Saccharomyces cerevisiae S288C: one gene and its partners. The main gene of each other region encodes a partner of the protein of the gene in region 2 in a complex. Each region holds a gene or a part of one and is shown on either strand. Other genes may lie near its edges. The genes, in order: RPA12, RPA49, RPB10 and RPC10.

The links.
Region 1: RPA49 (region 2) and RPA12 share a complex: the UniProt entries of both Saccharomyces cerevisiae proteins name them as parts of the RNA polymerase I (Pol I) complex.
Region 3: RPA49 (region 2) and RPB10 share a complex: the UniProt entries of both Saccharomyces cerevisiae proteins name them as parts of the RNA polymerase I (Pol I) complex.
Region 4: RPA49 (region 2) and RPC10 share a complex: the UniProt entries of both Saccharomyces cerevisiae proteins name them as parts of the RNA polymerase I (Pol I) complex.

The regions. Positions count from the first base shown.
Region 1 is NC_001142.9:553,391-556,099, reverse strand, and holds RPA12 (DNA-directed RNA polymerase I core subunit RPA12), read right to left. Parts: upstream 906-2,709; coding exon 528-905; downstream 1-527. Other genes in the region: chaperonin-containing T-complex subunit CCT5, read right to left, coding at 1-186; NTA1 (amidase), read left to right, coding at 1,251-2,624. UniProt on the Saccharomyces cerevisiae protein: DNA-dependent RNA polymerases catalyze the transcription of DNA into RNA using the four ribonucleoside triphosphates as substrates. Component of RNA polymerase I (Pol I) which synthesizes ribosomal RNA precursors.
Region 2 is NC_001146.8:180,840-184,323, reverse strand, and holds RPA49 (DNA-directed RNA polymerase I subunit RPA49), read left to right. Parts: upstream 1-1,715; coding exon 1,716-2,963; downstream 2,964-3,484. Other genes in the region: CRS1 (cysteine--tRNA ligase), read right to left, coding at 1-1,449; MPA43 (Mpa43p), read left to right, coding at 3,302-3,484. UniProt on the Saccharomyces cerevisiae protein: DNA-dependent RNA polymerases catalyze the transcription of DNA into RNA using the four ribonucleoside triphosphates as substrates. Component of RNA polymerase I (Pol I) which synthesizes ribosomal RNA precursors.
Region 3 is NC_001147.6:736,697-739,063, reverse strand, and holds RPB10 (DNA-directed RNA polymerase core subunit RPB10), read right to left. Parts: upstream 745-2,367; coding exon 532-744; downstream 1-531. Other genes in the region: dynamin-related GTPase MGM1, read left to right, coding at 1-140; NPT1 (nicotinate phosphoribosyltransferase), read left to right, coding at 1,338-2,367. UniProt on the Saccharomyces cerevisiae protein: DNA-dependent RNA polymerases catalyze the transcription of DNA into RNA using the four ribonucleoside triphosphates as substrates.
Region 4 is NC_001140.6:385,682-388,005, reverse strand, and holds RPC10 (DNA-directed RNA polymerase core subunit RPC10), read right to left. Parts: upstream 774-2,324; coding exon 561-773; downstream 1-560. Other genes in the region: DCD1 (deoxycytidine monophosphate deaminase), read left to right, coding at 1-218; DSE2 (Dse2p), read right to left, coding at 1,519-2,324. UniProt on the Saccharomyces cerevisiae protein: DNA-dependent RNA polymerases catalyze the transcription of DNA into RNA using the four ribonucleoside triphosphates as substrates.

The DNA of each region.
Region 1 (2,709 bases), on a different chromosome or scaffold from region 2:
TTTGATAATAGAAGCTACTGATCTAGCAGCCAATATATGTGATTTCTTGGCCTCTAATCCGTGCTGTCTCTTCTTGTTACCTTGATCCTTCACGATAATAAAGGGTCTACCCATCTCGTCTTGTGCCACAATGGCGTTCGACAGATCCGGCATTTCCATAGGAGGTTGTTGTGGACGAGCAGCCATTTTCAAATATTGCTATAAAAATGGATGATAGCTGTTATTACTTTGAGTTTGTAGCTCTTTATCACGCACACCTCATTTGCCACATCCACCAAGACACTATTATATTTCTAGTTGTTCCTTAACAAAATTTTTCATTCAATGGCATAAATCACTTTACACGTTCTCGAGAACAGTAGATGCGATGAGTATGATAAATAGTAAGAATAATATGATAATGTACGCTATTATATCGTCAGTACATAGATTTTTTGTTTTTATAAATGATGTTCTATAGATGTTCACATGATGAAAGCGGGGATGATATTAATGTACAAATTGTAATATGTGCGAACACAACCCAATCAATTGTTGGTACGGAACTTGTAACCACAGGAAGTGCATGTATAGAAGACAGTAGCACCTTCATCTGCAGATCTTAACTGTAAAGTATGATAGTTCATCTCTTCATTTCCACACTGAGGACACTTTTCCTTGATAGTAGCGCCGTCTTTCAGTTCGTTCTTCTTCAAAGAAGTTTTAACCACGGATTTCTTGGCTCTAAGAGAAGATGGAAACGCATCGTCTGCCGTCGTGGTGACGACTTTTAAATTGGAGAATTGTGACTTGGGATATATGGCTTTACATTGGCTGCATTCAACGTTAGAGCCTAATACGGCATTAGGATTTTCCAGGAGATCACCACAGTCCAAGCAAAAAATTAACGATCCTACAACAGACATTCTTATAAGTACTAACCTGGATTGCTTTAAGCCTTTCTTTTCTTCTTGGATTCTTTACACTTGCCATGCAATGCCCTTCACTTGACATAAATTTGATTTTTTTTTTTTTCATATTTTTCATCTTTCGTTCGTAACGATATATAATTATTTACCCTGCACCATTCAAGAGGGTATATATCTCACTTAACTATTTTTGTTTTATAGCCCTAATAGATATTCATTCGTTGCCCTAGTAAGGGATAACCCTTCTTTGGAAATAAAACCACTTTAGTTTCACACATTTTAAGCATTTCAATGCTAAAAAGTGCTAGTTTACAGCGATAACTCTATCGTGACATTCAGTGAATGCTAATAGACGCAATTCATGGTGCTAAGATGAGCACAAAACTTTTAGTATCACTAAAGGTACTAGTAATTCAACTCAATCCGCAAATTGGGCAAGTAGATCAAACAATTAAGAGAACATGGTCAATATTGGATAAAGTTACGAAAAGTGCCACCTATGTGAAACCAGACATAATACTATTCCCCGAATTTGCATTGACAGGTTACAGTTTTCATGCCAGAAAAGATATTTTACCTTATGTTACTAAGAAAGATGAAGGGCCCTCTTTTGAACTGGCTAAATCAATATCCGAGAAATTTCAATGCTACACTATAATAGGATATCCTGAAGATGATGATGAACAGAAGCTATACAATTCTGCCCTGGTAGTAAATCCGCAGGGGGAGCAGATCTTTAATTACAGAAAGACTTTTCTCTATGATACAGAAATGAATTGGGATTGCGAGGAGAATCCAGAGGGATTTCAGACGTTTCCCATGGATTTTTCAAAGTGTGCTAAGCTTTCTAATGAGGACTCTTACAACAGAGATGTGACTTTGAAAGCATCAATAGGTATTTGTATGGACTTAAGTCCCTACAAATTCATGGCCCCCTTTAATCACTTTGAATTCTCTTCTTTTTGCGTTGACAATAATGTTGAATTGATTCTATGTCCAATGGCGTGGTTAAACTCTACTTCTATCACAGACAAACAGACGTTACATAACAATTCATTATTAGAAGCCGCTAAGAACAAAATAGCTTTCGCTTTAAAGGAGCAAGGGTTGCCTTTGGCAGGATCTCAAGGAATTTACCAGCTTAAAATTGGTGATTCGCAACGTACGCCCAGAGTGCCTTCTGACGACAGTACAAGTGAATATAAGGATATGGATGAACCAGATATGTCAAACGTAAACTACTGGATTCTACGATTTTTTCCTTTTTTGTACTTTAAATCCAGAATTAATTGGTTTAAAAATTCATCTCTTATCGAAAGCATTTTGGGCAAAACTAGAATGCCCCTAGATCATGAATATTATAAAGATGGAAAGCACAAGGAGGACACAATAGACTTATTGGATTCTGAGGAAGTGATAAAGGATACAGTACTGGAAAAGACATTTTTGGGAACCTCCCTTGGACAGCCTTGGAAGTTCCAAGGAAAGAATGCGATTTTGGTGCTAGCTAACAGATGTGGTACTGAAGATGGTACCACGATTTTTGCAGGAAGTTCTGGCATTTATAAATTTAACGGTAAAAAACCTAAAGGTTCACAGGATGATGATGAGAGTTCGCTTGATTCTCTCAATGAAAGCGTAGAGTTGCTGGGTAATTTGGGCAAGGGTCTAGAAGGCGCTATATTGCGTGAGGTCCAATTTGAAGTGTTTAGGTGAAGGAATATTATAATAAATTAGACATTATAAATTAATAAGGTTACACGCATATTTATGTTATTGAAATGTCGCCGTAAGGGCCGAA
Region 2 (3,484 bases):
AAAATTGTTCATGGAGTTTTCAAATGACTTTACTTCATGGATCAAAGATTCCTTGAAATCCAATTGATTGTTCCATTGTACTGAGGCAAAAGCCAATCTTAATTGGCGCGGTGAGAATTTTTTCAAAGCTTCTTGAATGGTAATGAAATTCTTTAAGGATTTAGACATTTTTTGACCCTCAATATGTAAATGGCCCGTATGTAAGAAATAGTTGATCCACTGTTGATTGTCGAAGCGAGCCTCGGATTGAGCCAATTCGTTATCATGGTGAGGAAAGGCCAAATCGATGCCACCTGAATGAATATCGATGTTAGAGCCTAGGATATCACTGGCCATCACAGAACATTCAATATGCCATCCTGGTCTACCCTTACCCCATGGTGATTCCCACTCAGGTTCACCTGCCTTGGAAGCCTTCCATAAAGCAAAATCATTATTCGACTTTTTTCCGTTATCAGCAAAGTTGCTTAAGGACCCTTCACCATCATTAATTAAGTCTAACTGGCCCTTATTCCATGGCTGGCATTTAGCATAGTCATGATTTGGGGATTTGTCAAATTTTAAAGTATCAAAGTACACGGAACCGTCGGAAGTGGCATATGCGTAACCATTATCAATAATTTTTTGAACAAAGTCAATAATTTCTGGAACGTACTCAGAAACACGAGTTGTAACGGTGGGAGGTAGCACGTTTAATGATAACATGTCATCATTGAATTTCTGTTCCCAGTAAGCTGGAAGTTGGCGGAAAATCTCTGGATTGCTAATGGTAGAGCCCAATTCTTTATCCAATAGAGGAACCGTAACGTCCTTGACTTTTTCAAAGGCAACTTCTGCGTCCATGGAATCGCCCTTAGTGATTGATTCAATAGCATTTTGAACTGCGGTGACATGCATAGGGAATTTAGGATTCTCCAATTTTAAAGTTTCAGTATCAGCATTCGATAACCAAGTTTCAAATTCTTCGATAGTTTTGATCTCGCTGCCTTGAATAGTAAAATTTTTGTTGATATATTGGAAAAGTGCGGTTTTGACCTTGTCAACAACAGTGGCGTTGAATTTGGTATCATTTTCTTTGACAAAATTGTCAAATAAATAGTTTTGTCTAGCTCTCAAAATAATTTTATCGTCGATATCAGTAACATTTTGCACAAATTGCACGTCGTAACCAAAATAATCTTGAATAATTCTTCTATTGATATCAATAGAGACATAGTTTCTGGCATGACCCATATGGGAGGCATCGTAAACAGTAGGACCGCAAGAGTACCAAGTGACACCTCTATTGCCAGATTGCGGAATGAATTCAACCTTAGATCTTGTTAAACTGTTGTACAACTTCAACACAGTTTCTTTAGCTTGTGGCGTTGGAACCTTCCATTTGGGCTGCACAATCTTCGGCGTAGACATTATAGTATATCTTCTCAGGGCTTTTATGAAGATATTCATGCATAGAATAAGAACTTGACCGGACACCTAATCACCGACGCCAATTAGCAATACTGTTCTTTTCAATTGATAATGTCTTTTGACTCTTCGCGATGAAAAATGTTTGCGGTCACCCGCGCTGAAAATTTTTTATTGCGATGAGCTGAAATTTTCCATCTCATTTTTAATAGTAAGTATTCTTGCATGAACACTAATGATATTAGGAGGGCTTTTTAAGTTGCTACCACTATTGCAGTCGTTATCAACCTTTTGCACTTTATCTAGTAATGTCCGTGAAAAGGTCTGTTTCTGAAATCGAAATTGAAAGTGTTCAAGATCAACCCTCTGTTGCCGTGGGAAGTTTCTTCAAGGGCTTCCGTGCTCCCAGTGACACTACGTTCGACTTATACAAAAAAAAGAAGTCTGAAAAGGACGAATTCGTATTACACGGTGAAAACGAGAGACTAGAATACGAAGGTTATACTGATTCTTCTTCCCAAGCTTCGAACCAGTATGTTGTGGGCCTATTTAATCCAGAAAAGAAAAGTATTCAACTCTACAAGGCTCCCGTACTTGTTTCCAAAGTTGTATCCAAGTCAAGCAAGAATCTAAGGGGTCCAAAAATAAAAAGTAAGAGTGATACTCGTCCATCTGCTTTGAGAAATGCGTTGGGTGAAGCGTTTGGTACTAAAAAGGCTAAAAAAGCTATTGCAGATCTAGAAAGAAACCGTATTGACTCTGATAAGTTGACTGATTCTGCTATTGACATTGTGGATTCCGTGAGAACTGCATCTAAGGATTTACCAACTCGGGCTCAATTGGATGAAATTACTTCCAACGATAGACCTACTCCATTAGCCAATATCGATGCCACTGATGTAGAACAAATTTACCCAATTGAAAGTATAATACCAAAGAAGGAATTACAGTTTATTCGCGTTTCATCAATTCTGAAAGAAGCGGATAAGGAAAAGAAGTTGGAATTGTTCCCATACCAAAACAATTCCAAGTATGTGGCAAAGAAATTGGACTCTTTGACACAACCTTCACAAATGACCAAATTACAGCTACTATACTACTTATCACTATTACTGGGCGTATACGAAAATAGACGCGTGAATAACAAGACGAAGTTGTTAGAAAGGTTGAACAGTCCTCCTGAAATCTTGGTAGATGGTATCTTAAGCAGATTTACCGTGATAAAGCCTGGACAGTTTGGAAGATCAAAGGATCGCTCCTATTTCATTGACCCACAAAATGAAGATAAAATCTTATGCTACATCTTGGCAATCATAATGCATTTGGATAACTTCATTGTTGAAATCACACCCTTAGCACACGAATTGAACTTGAAACCTTCCAAAGTTGTCAGTTTGTTCAGGGTACTTGGTGCTATTGTCAAAGGTGCCACAGTGGCTCAAGCTGAGGCTTTTGGCATTCCAAAAAGTACTGCAGCTTCTTATAAAATTGCCACTATGAAAGTTCCATTTAAGCTACCTGAAATGACAAGAAGAGGAAGAGGTCCAAGACGTTAGAGTTACCTAGAGGTATATACTGAGCATTTGGTTTGCTCTGGTTTTTTTTTTTGCTAGATGGTTCTATAAAGCAGCAAAATATAAGACGGTCCTCCTGATGAGAGGAAGAGAAAAACAAAAATAACTACATAGATATACGCTATTTTTTCTGAGAAGATACATATGTACAAATAGATATTTTACAATAATTTTAAACTTCGCAATAAATTCAATATTAATTCATAGCGTAGTTCGGCTTTCTAGCACCTTAGTAAGCTGAAATTTAAAAATGTATCAGTTTATTTTTTTCAATAAAGGTAACTTTAAATGAGAAACCAACGTGTTATATAGGTGAAATCATGAATAGCAGTCTGCAAGTTGGCATCGGAATTGATGTAGGTTCATCAAGTGCTAGAATAGGTGTATATAATTACTACAATGATGCGCTGTTAGAAATGGCGCAGGAACCAGTCCCATACTACCAGGATTCTTCAAAGAAGTCATGGAAATTCTGGCAAAAATCAACTGAAATAATTAAAGCC
Region 3 (2,367 bases), on a different chromosome or scaffold from region 2:
TGTTTGCTAAGGAAGATCCGAAGATTTCAAGGCATATTGAATTGCAAAAGAGAAAGGAGCTGTTAGAATTAGCCTTGGAGAAAATAGATTCAATCTTGGTTTTCAAGAAAAGCTACAAGGGCGTCTCCAAAAATTTATGATGTAAAATAAATAGTGTCATTAGAGAATTTGTAAATAGCATTTTTTACCGTTATATAATTACTAGGGTGTATTTTTCTGAAAAAATAAAGGCATACCCTTCATCTAAGCTCTTTCTTATAGTATACAAGTCTCTTATATCGCACGATGTAACATCTACATACTTCCTTTATCGTCTTGAAGAGTAAACAAAAGATATATATATATTATTTTCTATTATTTTGGAAGAGAATGGTATTCCTACAGTATGCAGAGACACATCTGGTTGTCGTGTAGTTCTTTTAGTGTGTGAGAATAAATGGTTATCGTTTCTATATTCATGACCGCTCTCATCTTTTTTTTTTCATCCATCAAGGAAAAGAAAAGTTCAAAAACAGCCATATTGAGGAACACTTAATCTCTTTTTTCTAATGGGTTGTATCTTAAAAACTTTTCAATAAGATCGACGTGGGTTAGAATCATTCTTCTACAGCAGTATCTTTTTAGACCTAATCTTGACAATGCAGTACCTTCATCCAACTCATCTTCTTGCAACAAGTTTAAGTAGCTTTCCCACTTGTCACCAACAACTTTACCGCATGAGAAACATCTGACTGGGACAATCATTTTGTATTATTATTTTGCTTATTGAGGTTTACGTTCTACACTCTACAGTTTGAATACACTTTAACTATCATCCCATTGTGATTTTATTCAATGTTTCTTTTTTTTTTTCTTATGAAATTTTTTTTACCAAATACAACGAGTGAGAAATTACTTTTCGTTCAACGTGATCTTTGTGTTCTCAATTGCTGACACTTCCAGTGTAGTAGCCATCGGAGTGCTGATAGTAGCTTATTTTGGGCTTAAAAACCTCAAGAATATGAAAAGATTTATCAGGTCTGCTTTTGCATATATGAACCCTTCATCTTACTTTTTTACGTTGTAAATTCGTCAAAATATCAACAAAAATGGCTGCTGCGCCTGGGTGAAAAATTCGTCAGATCCGTTCTTATAAGACTGGAAAAACTCGCAAATGAAAGAATTGTTGTCTTTGACTAACCAAAATGACGAGCCTTTCAACAGTTATCGAAACGTAAATTGGATCCCATCAGTTTTTTTGTTTCAATTCGTCACTGTAAGGAAACAAACGGTAGATAATATTTTAGAAGAAAGGTGGATTTAGCCTTTTGTACCTATTTTCGCCAAGCAAGATAACCATGTCAGAACCAGTGATAAAGTCTCTTTTGGACACAGACATGTACAAGATTACGATGCATGCTGCTGTCTTCACTAATTTTCCAGATGTTACAGTTACTTATAAATATACCAACAGGTCGTCCCAATTGACCTTCAATAAGGAAGCCATTAATTGGTTGAAAGAGCAATTTTCGTATTTGGGAAATTTGAGGTTCACAGAAGAGGAAATTGAATACTTAAAACAGGAAATCCCATATTTGCCATCGGCATATATTAAGTATATTAGCAGTTCTAATTACAAACTACACCCTGAAGAGCAGATTTCCTTCACTTCAGAAGAAATCGAGGGCAAGCCCACCCACTACAAATTGAAAATTTTAGTCAGTGGTAGTTGGAAGGATACTATCCTTTATGAGATCCCCTTACTGTCCCTAATATCAGAAGCGTATTTTAAATTTGTTGACATCGACTGGGACTACGAAAACCAATTAGAACAAGCTGAGAAGAAGGCGGAAACTTTGTTTGATAATGGTATTAGATTCAGTGAATTTGGTACAAGACGTCGTAGATCTCTGAAGGCTCAAGATCTAATTATGCAAGGAATCATGAAAGCTGTGAACGGTAACCCAGACAGAAACAAATCGCTATTATTAGGCACATCAAATATTTTATTTGCCAAGAAATATGGAGTCAAGCCAATCGGTACTGTGGCTCACGAGTGGGTTATGGGAGTCGCTTCTATTAGTGAAGATTATTTGCATGCCAATAAAAATGCAATGGATTGTTGGATCAATACTTTTGGTGCAAAAAATGCTGGTTTAGCATTAACGGATACTTTTGGAACTGATGACTTTTTAAAATCATTCCGTCCACCATATTCTGATGCTTACGTCGGTGTTAGACAAGATTCTGGAGACCCAGTTGAGTATACCAAAAAGATTTCCCACCATTACCATGACGTGTTGAAATTGCCTAAATTCTCGAAGATTATCTGTTATTCCGATTCTTTGAACGTCGAAAAGGCAATAACTTACTCCCATGCAGCTAAAG
Region 4 (2,324 bases), on a different chromosome or scaffold from region 2:
AAGCTGGCAGGGATCGTGTAGGTCAAAATGCGACCTTATACTGTGATACTTGCCCTTGCTTAACATGTTCTGTAAAGATTGTTCAAACAGGCATCAGTGAAGTAGTTTATAGCCAAAGTTATAGAATGGACGAGGAAAGTTTCAAGGTCTTGAAGAATGCGGGAATAACCGTCCGGCAATTCAGCTTTACGGAAGAACCAAGAATTGTGATGATTTAATTCATAAGTTCCTTTTCAGTTCGAACTAATGTAACATATATATAAAATACTACATTTAAAAAAAATACAGTACATTGTACAAACTAAAATCACTATAAATAGCGAATACTTTTCTTATATACTATTATTATTATACATTTGTATACACCTTTTTTCATTAATATAATCTCTAAGTGATATACGTTTTCCCTTAAAAAAACATAAAGAATTTGCTGGAAGAAAAGTGCTGCATAAACTTAAATCAAGCACAAGTTTATATATTGCAAAAACCTTGGAAAACCTAGGTTCTTTATTTCGTATTATTCTGCCCCGGTAACCCATTATGGTTTTCAGTCTCTCCATTCATCTAGCTTCAAATTGAACCAATCTCTTAGTCCTAGCCTTCAACAGGATTCTATGACCACAGTCCTTACAACGGACTGCATCAGTTCTGGATAAAGATAATTTACTAGAACATTCAGCACAAATATACTTCAAAGTTGCCGTTCTAGCTTGAGAAGTACCTGCAGCTGCGGCGTCTAAATTTGTTGGAATCTGGAACCCTTCGCGAGACATTGTTATACTTGTGGACTTTTATTCTTGGGTACGTTCTTATTAAATGTTGGTAGAATAAGTCGATGATGTGGAATACTCTTCACTTTTCTGATTCTAAAATCTATTTTAGATGTTAAAGAAATGAAAAAAAAAAAAAAAAAAATTAAAATTCAGAAAAATCATATTCTACGACCGCAGCGTTATATAACGTTACATCGGTGAGGCTAATTGTAGCCTTACCTGGTAATGTACAATGTCGTGGTCATGAGACAAATGTCAAATAGGAAGATGCAATGGAGAACAAATTTGACACACATGATTGAATCATTAAATCTACGGCAATATTTTGTTCTTATTTAGTGTCTCTTTCTCCATATCACTGCTCATATCAGGAAAAACTGTAGATTCTGACAATGTACTCGCCGGAACATTTTGATATATATAGGTGATGTAATTTCCATATGAAAAATACTAAAGACTTGTGATGAATTCATGAAATGAGTGGGGAAGAATCAGTATCCTTAGTAAGAGGTAACTAATAAAATTAAGTTATAGTATACACATTGTATATAATAGTTGAAACTACAAAATGAAAAGATCATGAGAAAAAAACAAAATAAAGAAATTAGGAAACTTAGTCGTTATAACAACACGAGGAAAAATGAATAAATAATACTGTCTTTTTACTATTTTTAACAAAAAATAATGGAAAAAATACGCCTGAGAAAACAAATAGAAAAGAATGCACCACCATTATGCCTAAGCGCTAAATGGTAACCGTAGCATAAATTGTGTTTGTACTAGTTATAGTGGTGGCGGCATCAACGGATTGAGACGGGTTAGTTAAGTAGACAGTACTATAGTAGTCATCATCATCATAAAAAACGTAACAAGTGCCATCCGAGCTGGAGACGGATATCGATTGCGTAGAAGACGATTCTAATGGCATGGATGTCGTTGCTCTAGACGTTGTATCTACGCTAGAAGAGGGTACCAGTGTAGAGGTAGTTCTTGCTATAGTGGACCCTGTTTGGGATGACTCAACTGCGGAAGTGGAAGACGATGACGCCAAAGTTAGTTGAGAGTTTCCGCTTTTTGAGCTCGATGGTGCCAAGGTAATAATAGTGGCGAAAGAAGAAGAAGAAGAAGAAGAAGAAGTTAAGGAAAGAGGGGCAGATGATGATGATGTTGAAAATGATGAGGATGATGTTTCAGAAGATGAAGATGAAGAAAGTTGGGAAGAGAAAGGTGCAGTAGATGAAACAAAAGCAGAACTAGAAGTCAAACGAAAACCTGAAGACGCAGATGGTTCGGCTGTAGCGGAAGATGTACCTGACGATTCGATACTTTGAGATGATTCGATATCGTATGTAGAGCTAGAGGATGTTGAAGAACCAGATGAAATCGTTGGACTGATAGTGGAAACAGTAGAAGTAGAAACCAATGAGTTTGTTTGAGTAGCACTAACTTGTTCTGAAGCTGACACCGTTGAAACCTCTGTTATCTTTTCAGTAGTGGAAGAAACGACGGAATTAGCTAAAGTAATCGGATATACCCTTGTAGTAGTATATG